4 linked regions of the Mus musculus genome follow. The protein of the gene in region 4 binds, or shares a complex with, the protein of the main gene of each other region. Links are inferred from orthologs where the notes say so. Each region holds a gene or a part of one and is shown on either strand. Other genes may lie near its edges. The genes, in order: Pdzd8, Rubcn, Rilp and Rab7.

The links.
Region 1: the proteins of Rab7 (region 4) and Pdzd8 are in contact, whole or in part, in a crystal structure (PDB 7F6J), measured with the Homo sapiens proteins. The link is inferred for Mus musculus from reciprocal best matches to the Homo sapiens genes RAB7A and PDZD8. Residues at the interface, in NP_004628.4 of Homo sapiens: Lys10, Leu14, Asp16, Ser17, Lys38, Ile41, Gly42, Ala43, Asp44, Phe45, Gln60, Trp62, Gly66, Glu68, Arg69, Phe70, Gln71, Ser72, Leu73, Gly74, Val75, Ala76, Phe77, Tyr78, Arg79, Thr98, Ser101, Trp102, Glu105, Phe106; in NP_776152.1 of Homo sapiens: Ile999, Lys1000, Leu1001, Val1002, Arg1003, Lys1004, Glu1005, Gly1007, Leu1008, Asp1009, Asp1010, Phe1013, Ile1014, Lys1017, Gln1044, Leu1051, Asn1054, Asn1055, Val1058, Leu1077, Leu1084, Gln1085, Thr1088, Ile1092.
Region 2: the proteins of Rab7 (region 4) and Rubcn are in contact, whole or in part, in a crystal structure (PDB 6WCW), measured with the Homo sapiens proteins. The link is inferred for Mus musculus from reciprocal best matches to the Homo sapiens genes RAB7A and RUBCN. Residues at the interface, in NP_004628.4 of Homo sapiens: Ile41, Gly42, Ala43, Asp44, Trp62, Gln71, Ser72, Leu73, Gly74, Val75, Ala76, Phe77, Arg79, Ser101, Asp104, Glu105, Ile108, Gln109, Ser111; in NP_055502.1 of Homo sapiens: His818, Asn821, Met822, Lys824, Thr825, Arg827, Leu883, Gln885, Ala886, Lys887, Gly888, Phe889, Ile890, Glu892, Gln895, Glu897, Ile900, Pro903, Cys915, Lys916, Arg931, Arg934, Arg938.
Region 3: the proteins of Rab7 (region 4) and Rilp are in contact, whole or in part, in a crystal structure (PDB 1YHN), measured with the Homo sapiens proteins. The link is inferred for Mus musculus from reciprocal best matches to the Homo sapiens genes RAB7A and RILP. Residues at the interface, in NP_004628.4 of Homo sapiens: Ser3, Lys6, Leu8, Ile41, Gly42, Ala43, Asp44, Phe45, Leu46, Thr47, Thr58, Trp62, Ser72, Leu73, Val75, Leu182, Tyr183, Asn184, Glu185; in NP_113618.2 of Homo sapiens: Phe248, Glu249, Leu252, Gln253, Arg255, Asn256, Lys259, Ala260, Phe263, Leu264, Glu267, Glu268, Tyr271, Arg274, Glu275.

The regions. Positions count from the first base shown.
Region 1 is NC_000085.6:59,304,258-59,307,819, forward strand, and holds part of Pdzd8 (PDZ domain-containing protein 8), read right to left. Parts: intron 1,064-3,562; coding exon 901-1,063; intron 1-900. UniProt on the Homo sapiens protein: Molecular tethering protein that connects endoplasmic reticulum and mitochondria membranes. PDZD8-dependent endoplasmic reticulum-mitochondria membrane tethering is essential for endoplasmic reticulum-mitochondria Ca(2+) transfer.
Region 2 is NC_000082.6:32,823,316-32,826,877, forward strand, and holds part of Rubcn (run domain Beclin-1-interacting and cysteine-rich domain-containing protein), read right to left. Parts: coding exon 3,370-3,562; intron 2,882-3,369; coding exon 2,820-2,881; intron 2,403-2,819; coding exon 2,249-2,402; intron 1,158-2,248; coding exon 1,064-1,157; intron 832-1,063; coding exon 653-831; 3' UTR 1-652.
Region 3 is NC_000077.6:75,508,871-75,512,896, reverse strand, and holds the start of Rilp (rab-interacting lysosomal protein), read right to left. Parts: upstream 2,804-4,026; 5' UTR 2,750-2,803; coding exon 2,525-2,749; intron 2,454-2,524; coding exon 2,360-2,453; intron 2,266-2,359; coding exon 2,159-2,265; intron 2,076-2,158; coding exon 1,890-2,075; intron 1,609-1,889; coding exon 1,463-1,608; intron 1,118-1,462; coding exon 995-1,117; intron 547-994; coding exon 463-546; intron 199-462; coding exon 54-198; 3' UTR 1-53. Other genes in the region: Prpf8 (pre-mRNA-processing-splicing factor 8), read right to left, coding at 3,608-3,762, 3,928-4,026. UniProt on the Homo sapiens protein: Rab effector playing a role in late endocytic transport to degradative compartments. Involved in the regulation of lysosomal morphology and distribution.
Region 4 is NC_000072.6:88,010,752-88,014,313, forward strand, and holds part of Rab7 (ras-related protein Rab-7a), read right to left. Parts: intron 2,948-3,562; 5' UTR 2,940-2,947; coding exon 2,887-2,939; intron 1,683-2,886; coding exon 1,556-1,682; intron 1-1,555.

The sequences.
Region 1 (3,562 bases), on a different chromosome or scaffold from region 4:
TATACCACAATCAGAGATTTCCACATGAAAATGCTAATTTAACTCCAAGTGCTTAACTAAATCATTTTCATTATCTTAATGTCAAGATGGATTTGAATCAAAAGCAGAGTCTGACATATTGAGTGATAATTCCTTTTTGCTTCACCTTATTGTCTTAGCTGTAAAAGAACACACAATACTCTTCTGAAAAGATTAAGCTAAATTATAGCCATTTTTATATGCTCAAAGCCTACACCAGGTGGGCCAGGTACTATGAAATATGAAAAGGGCTTGGATTACTTCTGTGCTGTTGTGTACATTTGAGTCCGCTATTATGTATATACACTCAAGCAGATAACTCATTTTTATTTTTATTATTTACAACCATCTAGCTGACAGGAAGGTATACAGTATTTACCATAGAGATTTGGGTTGCATTCTGAATAATAGCATCCTGACAAACCACAGGCCTTTCCCATAACATGGAGTCTCAGAATAGGGTTAGGTGTATCCTCCCTCTCAGGTAAGGAATATTCATTTCTCTCCTGTTCAATTCTAGTACTACAACACGATGAGAGAAGTCATGTGGTAATGGACATACAGGAAGACATTATTATCTGGCTCTTAATTTTGTATTTAATAATACATAGAGGAGAAGGTGGGAAGGGAAAGGAAATGAGAAAATTTTAGTGAAGTGGTTTAAAGATGAAATTATGTTTAAACATCAGGACTAAACTGGCTCTTGTTTTTTACAAGCATGCTAAGGCCTCTTTTGCAATTTTCTTTATAATGAAGATTTTTCCATTATAAAACTAACAGATGCTTGTTTCAAAAATAGGGAGACGAGAGAAAAAAAAACCTCTCCAGCCAATTTTGTAGTTTCTCTGTACACGTAAGTTATACTATACAGTGTGTAATTACCTCCAATAGCAATGAGCCGATCTCCCCGTTGAAGATCTGCCATCGCAGCAGGTGAGTTTGGGGCCACAGTTTCGATTATGACATGCCCAGCATACCCATCAGTTGACTGAACAAGACGAAGTGTAAGTCCGACACTTTGTAAATTCCCTTTTATTAATTCAACCTTTGATAAAGGATTAAAAAGAAAGAAAACATTGAGATAAAAGTAATACAGATAAGAGTATCACAGTCGTGACTTTTAAATCATTGTGACTATAATTACAGATAAGTGACAGATTAAGACATTACTAACAAATATAAATATACTTTCAGATTATGATGACTTAAATGTGGTCATAAAAAAAAACAATAAAAAAAGGTGGTCTGCCTATGCTCCCGTGTATGGCCTCATACCCACATGCATGCAGGCAACACCAACTGGACCACATGTGTTCTTACAAGGAAGAGGAACAGGAGATAATAATGGAATAACGAGAGGAACGTGTTCTGGGGGCAGTCTGGCTGAGTAGCTATTGGCTGCTGGGGGAAGAGAGAGTTATTTTTCTCTGGGTGTGTGGCCATCATTGGTAGTCTGCCCATACTCCACGGGATAGCCCGATACCCACACATTCATGTAAGCACTGATTGGAATTATTAAAAATTAGAAAAGATGACATGAAACTGGGAGAGAGGATGTGTTGAGGAGGGTCTGGGAAAATTGGAGGAGGGAGTGGGGAGAGAATGTGATCAAAAGACATGGTACAAGTATAAAATTCTCAAAGAATAAAAGTCTATCATAAAGAAGAGAACATGAAGATGTGAGAGATAAGGGAGTATGAAGGTCACTGGTCCTGGGGGAAGTGGGAGAGAGGGTCAAAATATACACATCAAATATAAAAATTATACATACATGTATGAAACTGCCAAACAATAAACAAAAATATTCTAAAAACATGAAACACAATGTATTCAATGTTTTTAAAGGGATCATACCTATAATAGAAATTCTGGAAATTAAAGAAACAAAATCAAAAGAAAAACACTTCCAATCATACGATCTAGAACTACTGTTAGAATTTACATTTGCTTATACTTTATTACAAAATTATAAATTGAGGGGGCTGAAAGATGATTCATTGGTTAAGAGCACTGACAGCTCTTCCAGAGGTCCTGAGTATAGTTCCCACCAAACACATGGTGGTTCACAACCATCTGTAATGGGATCTGATACCCTCTTCTGGTGTGTCTGAAAACAGCTACAGTGTACTCACATACATATACAATAAAATCTTTTTTAAAAATTAAGAATTGAGCCAGAATTTGCATTTGTTTATACTTTAATATAAAATTGACACTTGTATCAAAGCTGAGACATGGTAAATATAATCATATACTGTGAATGGATCTTGACTGTTGCTTTTCTCAAATTCAGCAGGAATAGTCCATGTCATTAGATGGGCTTTGGAACATTATTTTATTTAATGTGTATGTGTACACTGTAGGTATTCTCTGAACCATGTAGGTTCTGGGATCAAACCTGGGTTGTTGGGTTTTAGTCACAGATCCATCTTGTCAGCCTTAGTTTTAGAAATCTTGACCTCTCAATTATAAGCCAGAGCTTGAAGATAAATATTTAATATACTAATGATAACTGTCTAGTCCCTGATATCCAGAAATAAATTACCCATGGAGGTTTCAAAGACCTGTCATTATAGTTTAACCTATTTACAAATTTTTATGTTTTTGTCTCAATGATAGTGATAATCTGTCTCCTCTCCCCTAACCTCCCTTTAGAGTCTCATTCATTCATTCTCTCTTTCACACACACATACACACACACACACACACACACACACACACACACACACACACCATGCTAACATGCCATAGTGCTTAAATGGGTAGATCTGTATAGGGTCAAGAATGAATTCTAAGTTCTCTCACATGAACTCTACAGGTAAATATCTTCCTTACGGCAGTGATGCGTACCTATTTAGCAGCTAACTTCTAATGAACAGGAGAAAACCCACCAAATTTTGATTATTCTCCCAAGCCCCAAGAGTTACGACATATTGAAAAAAAAAGTTTTTGAAGGACACTTGTTAGTTGGAATACTATTGTACTCAGTGGGGTTTGAATTTCTGGCTCTACATATTAGTTTTACCAAACTTTTTTTTCCTTCCTTCCTTCCCTCCCTCCCTCCCTCCGGCAGGGTCTCAACTATATAGCCCTGGCTACCCAGGAACTCACTATGTAAACCAAGCTAACCTCAAACTTACAGAGATCTCCCTGCTTCTGCTTCCAGTGCTGGGACTAAATGCATATGCTGGTACATTTGGTTTGTAGGATTTATTTATAAAGAGAATACATTAGTTCTTATTTGTTACAACCAAAAAAATGCCTGGAACAGAATATTTATGAAGAAAATGGGTCTACTTAGATGTTTGGGGGTTCACTGATATGGCACAGGTCAGCTCTCCTGAGGATCTCATAATAAGTAGCCTTGCTTACTACCGTGCTAACAGTATAAGAGAAAGCACACAGCATTGCAGGAAGCCAGAGGGACGCAGCTGGGCTCCTCATAACTGTCTTAGAAAGCTCTAGGGGTCCTATGAGAGCTACTTTAACTTTTCTGAGAATAGCTCTGTGACCCAAGGACTTCCCTCAAGGCTCCACTTGCTTA
Region 2 (3,562 bases), on a different chromosome or scaffold from region 4:
GGCCTGACCTAAGACTCGGATCTGGTCTTTGATCCAAGCCCACCAGAGTACACAAACCAGCTTGTGCCCACCTATGCCAGGAATATTTGAAACAGGGAAGTCATGGTTGCCCTTTGAGATCCCGAAGATGCTAGAACAAGGATGGTTCTGTTCCTACCTGCCCTGCCCCCCCGTATACCTAAGTGGCCAGACAGAATGCCCGTTGTATACCCCCCTTCTCTCCCGTGACTCAGGGCACAGTCTTAGTCTCTGTTAGGACTAGGCCTAAGAAAAGACCATTCTCCTGCTTCAGCAGCAAAGGAGAAGGTCGCTGGCTGAGAGAGGCCTGGCTCAGACTCTGAGGAACTAAGTCAACAGTGGGTATGATCGTTAGCTGCAGCTGTAACCAGATCTGGTCCTAGTAGAAGAGGCCGAGCGGGTCAGAACTGGGTCTCGATGTCCATTCCCCTGACAAAAATACCCAGTGCCCACAGACAGCTGTCACAAGAGACTGGATCCATCAACCAAGAAAGGTTGCCTACACTTGGACAGCAGACAAGTCATAAAAAATGACAATATATATATATTTAAAAGGCCCCACCTTCCTTGAAGGTGTGGCTCAGTCTATATCTGACCCTCGCCAGACCCTTACACAAAGGGCTTAGTGCATTCCTCAGGTGGTCTCTAGGACGGTGGCCTCTAGAGCCAAGGCTTCTGTGGGCTCCTCCTCATAGTCAGACAGGTAGGACTCCAGGCTCTGCTTGGCCAGCAGCTCCCGTCGGGCCTGCAGCCGCTCACACCGGGGGCAGCGTCCAGACTTGAAGCAAGTTTTATGGTAACACGCTTTACACTCTGTTCATTCCGGTTGAAAAGGAGAGAGAAGAAAATGATTCGTATTATCCTGGGCTGGAAGCAACTCCCTACTACAGCTGCTCCTCCTCACCACAGCTGCTCCAACCCACCACAGCCGCTCCTCCCCACAGCTTGTGCTCCGGGCTGGAGCATGGAGTCACTCACACCACACTCCTGCTAACAGAGGACTCACGGGGAGTACAGCGGCTTCCCATCTAGCAATGGCCCTCACCTTCACAAGTCCGGCACTTATGCAGCTCAAAAGGAAAGATGACATCCTCCTCATTCTGACAGAATTCACAGATGAAGCCCTTGGCCTGACACAGCTGTGGAGAGAGTGACAGGAAAAGTGAAGGGCTGGCTCCAGAGGGTGAACTCCAGCGAGGGGAAGCAAGTCATAAATAAACCTTTGAGCAGGTGAAGGGTCTATTGTCTGTGACATACAGCCTCGGGCTGGACTTGTGAGTATGAGAGCCACAGCAGGGCTGGACACCACACACAAAGCTTCAGGGATGGACAAGAGACACAGGCTTGAGCATTCCTTGCCACTGGAGCAGCCCTCAGTGATGAGGAACGGGCGAAGAGGGGGTACGAAGAAGATGGTCCTCAAAGCTGTACTCCAGTATAGATTTTTTACTTTGAAACATATAGCACAACTCATTAAGATAAAAGCTAAAGTAAGGGTGTTTCCCAGAAACAACACCCTCTAGTCAGGCTATACTGCACTGTGTCCATCCCAACCCCACCGCACACACACCTCACCCTGCCACAGGCCACAAACCAGGCAGCTGACATGGGCAGACCTAAAAGTATCATTTCCAGGTTTCTAGCATGTTGACCCTTGTACGTGGAATTTACAGAGATACTGTAAGCTACTTCATCAGTCCTCAAAAGCTCAAGAGGGAAGGACAGTTCATCTAAGGGTCACCTTCATTCCAGAAAGAAGAAAACGGTGTTACAGAGAGAGCAAACTGCTGGAGACTGTGACTGAAAACAGCAGCCTCTAGATTGTGGTCAAGGTCCTACTGAGTGTGGCCTTCTTCACTGGAGGCTGCTCAGTCTAGCCTGGGCCAACACCTGCATCAACTCTTGTCCTAATTGCTTTTGTATTTTTGTTTTCTCAAGACAGGGTCTTGATGAATAGCCCAGGCTGACTCTACTCAGATCCTCCTGCCCCAGCCCAGCAGCGCTCCCTCCTCTAACTCCGGGTTCTTCACATAAGAAGAACCTATTGCTCACGGACTTAGAGAACTGCAAGCCCTTCTGGTTTCTCTCAGTGTCAACTGGCCGCATGAGGAGCTAAATGACAGGAACCCTGCCCACCTAAGCCCCACCTAAGCCCCACCTAAGCCCCACCTAAGCCCCACCTAAGCCCAGAGCAAAGCCTCGGCTGCAGGGCAGAGCAAGGTCGCCTCACCATGCATCTCTCCACGTGGGCGGCTCCCGCTCTAGTGAGCTCCGCCAGCCGGGGCCCCAGTTCTCCCTTCTTGGTTGCAGTCAGGTCACTCAGCGAGTACAGATGGAGGTCCTCTGTCAGGTGGCCTGGAACCACGTCAAAGGAATCCAGGAGCCTACAGAAATGAGAGGCAGAGGGAGGAGAGGAAATAAACATTTCCCATGGTGCATGACCGTACCAAACTCAGAAGGAGAGAAGCTAAGGGGGTGAGGGGAGGGGACAAAGACGTTCAGCCAGCCCAGGTATTCTAGGCTACCCCAGCTCTCCATACCGAAAGTATTTTATTTATAAATTCTGTAGAGTGAGCTTGGAAAATGGTGTCTCACCTTGGACAGATAGTCCTTTTTAAAAGAGACACAATTCAATTACTGTCATGGCTTCCCACTAGTTTCAGACATTTCTGCAAACTCTTTCTCATGTAAAGTAGGCAACAGCTGGGACATAGGCCTTTAAGAGACAACGGGCAGTTGGGATATAGGCCTTTAAGAGACAACGGGCAGCCAGAGGACCCTGGCCTCCACGGGAGACTTACTCTTTGGCCAGTCGGCATGTCTTAAACATGTTCTTCATGTGGTACAGCTGAACCCGCAGCAGCTGCAGACAAGACGTTGGGTGGAGGAGAGGAGAGAGAGAAGGACCTGTTAGAGGGGCAGCTAGTCCTCCACTCTTCACACAGCACCTCTCAGTCAAACCTTCCACACCTCACTTCAGTGTGCTCATCAGACACAATGGCAGCCGCTGAGAACTCTGGGATTCAAATGCCCAGCCCTGTTCTCCGTGAGGGCAGAAATGGCCTTTGCTTCCCAGTTTTATCGAGTCTCAGCTGCTTCGGGGTTTGCGAGTCTGGCAGGACAAGCACACAGGAACTGTGTGAGTGTGGCTCTGGGACAGAGGCCTTGCTAGCACTATGGGCATCAGTGCTGGGCCAGTGCTCCCCAGCACTGAGAACAAACAAGAAAAGTCCTCAGAACATGAACGGTGACTGTGACAAGAAGTGTGGTGACCTAAGGCAACTGCACCAACAGGAACAGGAGCTAGGACAGAAACAGGCATCCAAGGCCCGGCTTGTTCAGCTATCTCACCCGGACTTGGTTAAGCAGCTTGACCTTCCTGTAGAGTGCGCTATTGATGTCCTGCACATTGAAGAGAGGATCATTCCAGATCTTCAGGAGCAGGTCCTTGGAGAAGTTGCTGACATAGTACTTGCTGAAGTCCCATTTGCGCAGAATGCGGCTGGGGACGACCATCTGGGCGTTCTCGTGGCAGCACTGGCAG
Region 3 (4,026 bases), on a different chromosome or scaffold from region 4:
CCTGCATAGCTGAAGCCCTCAGACCAAGATGTTCATTGAAAGCAGGGGACTAGTCAGGAGTTGGGGGCTGGAGGGCTGTTCACAGGCTGCAGGTGGGGTTGCTGTGGGGTCTCTTCTCCTTTCTGTAGGCTGCTGGAAGCTGGGTTGCTGGTCTCGGCTTCAGGGGCCTCAGTTTCACCCCGATACCATAAGCCAAAGCTGGAAGGGAAGCCAAGAGAGGTGCATTGAGCCGGGGAGGCAGAGATGTCAAGGATGCAGGCCGAGGGTCCAGAAAGGTGAAAAGGGGGTTCTGGAGGAAAGAGGACAGCATAGGTCACAGGGAAATGAAGGCACAGAGGACAGAGAAGCAGGTGGGAAGACAGATCTTAGAACAGCGTGAAAGGCAGTGGAGTGGAAAGAAAGAGTGGAGAAGATCCAGGCAGGCCCCTCCTTCACCTTCCTCCCTCCCCTCCTCCAACATACAAATTCTGGATTCTGGACTCAGGAACTAGGGGAACATCTTCCTTGTCGTTGGAGAGCAGGAGCCACGAGCCATCCTCATCCTCACTAGGATAAAGAAATGAAAGGGCTGTATATCAGGGCCTAAGGGATACTATGAGTCCAGCTTGTGTGGAACCTCCTGAAGGACTTTCAGGAACATCAGGGGAGGATGGAGTGACTACAGAGGCCTCAGGGCTGGAGAGGGGACAGTGAGGGGATCAGGGACTCTTTATAACCAGGCAGACAACAGCCCCTCACAAGACTGCATAGCTTCCTTTAGTAAAGAGATCCAGCCAAGGAAGGAAACATGAGTCTGGAGAAGTAGCATGGACAGTTTCTTCAGCAGGAGGCATAGCAGCCGGGGCAAGCGGGAGCAGTGGATTCCAGAGGAAAGGACGGCAGCTGGAGAGCAGGCTGAGTGAGGTGCCAGGCACAGCTAAGTTGTATCACTGGGCACAGCAGAACTGCAGCAGGCCAAGGGGTTCGTTTGGTGAGCACAGAGGCAGGATCTTACCTGCTCTCTGCTTCTTCAGGTGTCCCTAACATCTTGGCCTTGATCTTCCTCCTCTGTTTCTTGACTGCCACCTTCATGGCTTCAAGCAGAAGCCCAGGAACACGGTGATCTGTGAGCAGCTCTCTAGAGAAGCAGGAAGGGAAGAAAGTGGGAAGGCCAACAGGAGGTGTCAATCAAGTACCTGAGCTCTGCTCACTGTTTCCCCTGGAAACCCGTGAAAGCTCTATACCGCCAACACCTCTGAAATGAGCTTAGATGGCCCCTCCTAAGGATAAGGCTTGCTGCTTCAGTTTGGTGACCCCTGGTGCTGCCCTGTTTGAGTGAGGTTCCAGAAGGGCAAGGACTGTGGAAGTTACTTCTTCCCAGTGCCTGAGCAGGACCCTGGCAATTGTCACTGCTGATCTATAAACGATCCAAAAAATAAGGTGGGGTGACCAGGAACAGGCATCCTGGCTTCCAGTCCCTCACCGCTGGAAGTACGCCAACTCCTCCTTGAGCAAGAACACGTTGGCTTTGAGCTCATTCCGCTCCTGAAGGATTTGCTTAAGCTCTTCCCTGCTGAATCCACACTGGACAGCTTCTGGAAGGTTCCCTGGCTGCTTCTGAGTATCCACCTGTACAAGGTCAGGAATGGTCAGAGAGCAGTCTGTCTTAGCTCTTCCCTAAGTCCCAGCGCTCACAATAATATTATGGGAAGTGTCTGCTGGGAAAACTTAGAGGACAAAGTTGCTGCTACATAGGTGTACATAGCACACAACTGCTGTTGCTACCTTCCAACTTCCTGGGTACCTTCTATACTGCATGGTACATCCATGCCAGGTAAACCCAGGCTGGGTCATCAACTGCTGAATGCTGTGAGCTCTGGGATGTATTTTGACTTCGCTCCGTCTCTTACCGGGTCATCTGAGGTTGCCGCATCAGGTTCCAAGCTCTGTTCTTTAGCCAGCTGGCTGGAGCCATCCTGAGCTATCTGGCGCTCCCTCTCCCGGTCCTGGGCGGCCCTCAACTGGGTCTGCACTGCAGCCAGCTTGTGCCGCAGCTCAGAGTTGATCAGCAGGAGGCGCTGTAGCTGTTCCTGCAGCTAGGGGGTGGAGCGAGAGAGCTAGGGGCGGGGCTCCGAGGGCCGTAGCGGCCCCACCCCACTCCGCCTGGCCCCGCCCTCACCGCTTCGGTCTCTTGGCTTCGGCGCTGCAGATCTCGGTTGTGTGCCCGAAGCTCATCCCGCTGTCTGTCTGTCACCTCCTTGAGCTGTCGGAGCAGCGCGCGCTCCTCTGAGGAAGGGGTGTCTTTAGCACTACCGATCTCTGGGGTACGCAGGCCCCGGCTGCCCCCAGCTCGCTCTGCTCCGGTGGGACCCTCACTCACCCTGCGGCCCGGAGCCTAGCTCCTGGCGGAGGCGTTGGTTCTCCTCGCGCAGCCGCCGCAGCTCCACTTCTGCCTGCTGTGCGGACACCTGCAGCTGGGGGAGCCAGGGGTCTCAGGGTTAGGCCTGCCGGCTCTCAGGGGTAAAAGGAGGAGCCGGTGACTCACCGAGTCCGGAGCCGGCCCCACGGCGGCCTTTTCCAAGAGCTCCAGCGCCCGCACGACTAGTGGCACCAGCCCAGCCGCCGCGTCGGGTCCGAAGCGGCGTGCCAGCCCCTGTAGCTCAGTGCCCAGAGCCCCCGCTAGATGGTACACGAGCTCGGCGGCTGACCCTGCGCCCACTGAAGAAGAGGCCTGACTGGGTAGCCTGGGCGCTGCCCTCCTGGGCTCCATTTTTTCCTCTCTTAAGGTCAAAAGCCACCCACACCCTTAACTGGTGCAGGAAAAAGCTTAACAGTTCCGGCCCAGGAAGTTTAGGGCCATAAGGGGCGGGGTAGAAGCAACCCGGGAGGAACAAATAGGGAAAAAGGCCCTGGAGTGGGAGAGTGCTCTGGGCTCCCTGTGCCCTACAAGGTCACTGGATACAGGTCGGCCAACTTCCAGGCAGGTATCCAAGAGTTGAGGACTAGAGCTGTAAGTGGTCACTTCAGGCAAGCCCTCCCCATAGCGCCTGACCCGGGCTCCACCCCTGGACTTGGCTGCCAAGAGGTGAAAGACTGAAGGTCAGCAAACAGCCTCTACTGGACTGCAGGGACAGTCACTTAAGTATGTTCCCCCACTAGGAACCACACAGTTTACAAAAATGAACGAGACCGGGCACTACAGCTATAGGAGGACCACACAGTCCAAGAAGTGATGTTGAAAATAGGTAGACTCCAAGTACTTTTACAGAGAAACCAGCAAATATGCTCAAAGTAATAAGCCAGCCCCAACTCAGCTCCCTGAGTCTAGGGAGCCTCTAAGCCTCCAGCGGAGAAGGCCTCAAGGCTCTGAAGGCAGGGCCCAGTACCTTGCTGTCAACTGCCCAAGCTAGTCCCCAATCCTCAAACGCCTATGCCCAGAATTTGACCTCATAACAGCAAGAAAACAAAAGCACTATTTATAAAATTTATTACATTTTGTTCAGGATTACAATCTATCAACAACACAAGCACAGAACGCAAAGGGGCTGACTGCTGAATGTCAGCAGCTTGTCTGGGGAGGGCGTTCAAGAGGCTCCAGGCTTTGGGGATCTGAAGCAGAAGGAAGTAACTAGGCATAGAGGTCCTCTCTGTCTGCAGAGTAGACCTCACCCTCCTGCAGAAGGGCGAAGTTGAGGAAGTGGGAGGGCCTGTGGACCTCATGGTAGAATTCCTTGGGGTTTGCCAGCTGCAGCTCGTATTTCATGTTGGGATCATGTCGAACACCTAATGGGAGGGGAAACATCAGAAGTTAATAAGGTTCTGCCTGCCTCACCCAGCCTGGGCCCCTGGACCGTTTCCAAGGCAGCCAGACCTCAAGATGACAAGATGACCAAGCATGCTGGTCACCTGTCTCTACCCCACACTTCCTAGGCACACACAACCACGTACCCATAAAGTTGTAGTTCCAGGAGGACTGGGCGGGGACCATGAAGAAGCCGAGGAATCGGTCAGACAGGAGCATCTGAACCCTCTCGTAGTGCGAGGGTA
Region 4 (3,562 bases):
AAACACTAAATCAGCCTTACAGAACTCAACTTTATAAAAATGTTTTTATTTATGTGTTTGCCTGCACTTGTGCACCAAATTGCCTAGAGAGCAGAAGAGGGTATCAGGTCCCTTAGAACTGAAGTTATACACAGCAGTGCTGAGAACTGAAGCTGGGTCCTCTGTAAAGAGCAGCTAGTGCTTTAAATCACTTTTAATCACCGAGACATCAATTTAGGATAGTCAACAATTAAATAGTTAACTACTACCTTAATATTTGCTATCAGAAGTTAGGAAAACCCAGAAAGATTTCCAAGCTGAAGCACTGAACAAAGGCACTTAGATAAGCTACAGAACTTTAATCCCAGCACCCCAGTGCAATTTATGAGTTCAAGGTCAGTCATGAATACAGACACCAATGCCTCCAAAAGAAAGAAAGATAAATAAATAAAGATATTTTAGAACACAGAAGAAACCGGTAGGTTGCTAAGTTTAGAAAGGAAAAAGAAGGGGCTGGAGAGATGGCTCAACAGTGAAGAGCACTGACTGCTCTTCCAGAGGTCCTGAGTTCAATTCTCCCAGCAACCACATGGTGGCTCACAACCATCCTTAATGAGATCTGATGCCTTCTTCTGGAGTGTCTAAAGACAGCTTTAGTGTATTTACATATAAATAAATCCTTATAGAAAGAAAGAAAGAAAGAAAGAAAGAAAGAAAGAAAGAAAGAAGGAAGGAAGGAAGGAAGGAAGGAAGGGAAGGGAAGGGAAGGGAAGGGAAGGGAAGGGAAGGGAAGGGAAGGGAAGGGAAGGGAAGGGAAGGGAAGGGAAGGGAAGGGAAGGGAAGGAAGGAAAAAAGGAAGGAAAAAAGGAAGGAAAAAAGGAAGGAAAAAGAAGCTAGGCATGGTAGCACAAACCTTTGATCCCAGCACTTGGGAGGCAGAGGCAGGTGGATTTTTCTGAGTTTGAGGCCAGCCTGGTCTACAGAGTGAGTTCCAGGACAGCCAGGCTATACAAGGAAACCCTATCTTGAAAAAACAAACATAAATAAATAGAAAGGGAAAAGAAATGAAAAAAAAAAAGACAATAACTGTAGCTAAAATTAAATTTTACAAAAATTCCTAGTTGTCTTGTAATATAAATTTCAAATTTAGGATTGGGGTGTGGCTCCGTGCTCATGCATGGCGGGAGCATGTGCACTCAGCCTGCATGGGGCTCGGGCTCTGTCTCCACCATGCTCCCGACCGTGCTTTTACTGCTATTTTATCCAACAACACTATTTGCAGCCAATTATCCATTCTCCACAAATATAATGGTAAGTTTGAAAAGCACGGAGGTATGACAGACAGTCTGGATGCAATCAACTGGGCCTACACGAGGGCTCAGCACAGAAGGTGCTACCCAGAGGTGAAGTGCTCCGCACAGAAGCTTCATGACCTGTGTTTAATCCCTACAACTCACAGAAAGGAAGAAAGCAAGCCAACTCCACCCCCACCCACCCACCCACCATTTAAAGAAGACTTCATTTAAAGAAGACTCAGTAAGCTGGCAGTCTGGCTCCAGGCTGAGCAGTGGCTCACCTGCATGGTAACAAGTCTGTCGTCCACCATCACCTCCTTGGTCAGAAAGTCCGCTCCTATTGTGGCTTTGTACTGGTTACTGAACTTCTTGTTCACATACTGGTTCATGAGAGAGGTCTTTCCAACACTGAAATTGAACAAAACCCACATGTCTGAGTCAAATAAGGGACTGAAAGGGATTTGTGTTTACAATGTTCAAAGCAACATGCCTGAGCTAGGAAGAGCGTTTAGTTGGTAGAGTGCTTGCCTGACATACACCAGGCCTGGGTTTAACTCCCGGTACTGCAACAGTTTAAAAACAAAACAAAGCATTTTACTAAAAGAAACACACACAAACTCACTCACTCCTAAATGGAACTTTGTGATAAGATCACTCCAAACGGCTTTGTAATCTCAGGTGTTTATGCATCACTCAGTGTGGTCAAGTAACACCAGGAGGAAGCCACTCAGCAGTATGTAGCCAGAAAGGAATGTTCCAAGACAGGTGTAGCCCCACATGCCTGGAATTCAGTGCTTAGAGATAGAGGCAGCAGCACTGAGAGCCTGAGGCTAGACTGGGCTGCACAGTGAGTTCAAGGGCATTGAGCCACAGTTTTTGTTTCAAAACTAAAGCCCAAGCAAAACAACAAAACAGGGCCTGTTTGATGGCTAAAGCGAAAGGCACCTATTGCCAAGCCTGAAAACTTAATTCAATCCCAGGGCCCCCAGAGCAGGAGGAAAAACAATTCTTGCACGGACCTTCACACCCACACGCATATGCACATACATAATAAAACATTAAGAATGTCCCTCCCAAGGAATTTTTTCACCAAGAAAACTCACCAACCAAGTGTTCAGTAAGATAAGGGTAGGGTCAGGGTAATGCAACCTAAAGAAAGCGCCAATGCTTTCCTTGTTCAAGGCTTTCCACAAAGAGTGCACATACATACAGCCTAAGACAGTAGTGCTTGCCTTGCCAGGGGTATAGCGCAATGGCTGACCAGTGGTCTAAGGTGCTGGTTCTACCCAGTTCTGCAACACAATTAGAATTTACAGAAGTAGAGTGAGGTCTGTAATCCTCAAAGGCCTTGAGACTCCTTTCAGACAGTATGCCATTTCTCACAGTCCTGGGCAGGAGACACTATTCCTATACTCTACCCCACTGGAAGGCACTTTCAAAAACAAGAAAATACTTGTTTGAGGGTTCCTTAAGCATTTCAATAGGCCAAACACAGGAAACCCCAACAGTAAAGGATAGAGGCCAGGCCCAGAGCCGAATGTGGAACTGCCTTGAGATCAGTGAGGATGAAGCTCCAAGCCAATCTGAGGTCAGATTCGTGAGAAACACTTACCCAGAGTCCCCCAGGATGATGACCTTCAGCAACACTTTCTTCCTAGAGGTCATCCTTGAAGCTGTCGGGAGGAGAAAGTGCAGGTGAGCTGAAGAAACATTAAGGCAGTTTTGCATTGTCTACAGTGCAGCCACTCTGGTCTGCCAGGAGCTGAGCCCCAGCCCTCACTCAGACTGGCCCCCGGCCTGTGAACCCTTTAGCTAACCTAACAAGACAGCAGGGCAGGGGCTGAACGGATGCCGGTGCCCTCTCTCTCCTCAAGTGCTGGGTCCATTACTGGCATCAGCAGTTGGGATTAACACTCCAAACAGACTCACAAATCTCACAAGTGAAGATTAAGCACTACTTTCTCAGCAAAGGAACCTATTTCCTTCCTTCCTTCCTTCCTTCCTTCCTTCCTTCCTTCCTTCCTTCCTTCCTTCCTTCCTTCCTTCCTTCCTTTTCCTCTCTCCCTTCCTCCTTTCTTTCATTTTTTAGAATCAGGGTTTCTGTGTGGCTCTGGCTGACCACGAGATGGTCTTTAACTCTGAGACCTGTCTGCTTTTGCCTCCTGGGCATTGGGATTAAGAGTGTGTGCCACCACAGCCAGTTAGGAACCAATTTAAGGAGCGCCCTGTGCTGGCTAGTTTTATGTCAACTTGACACAAGCTAAAGTCACCAGAGAGAAGGGAGCCTT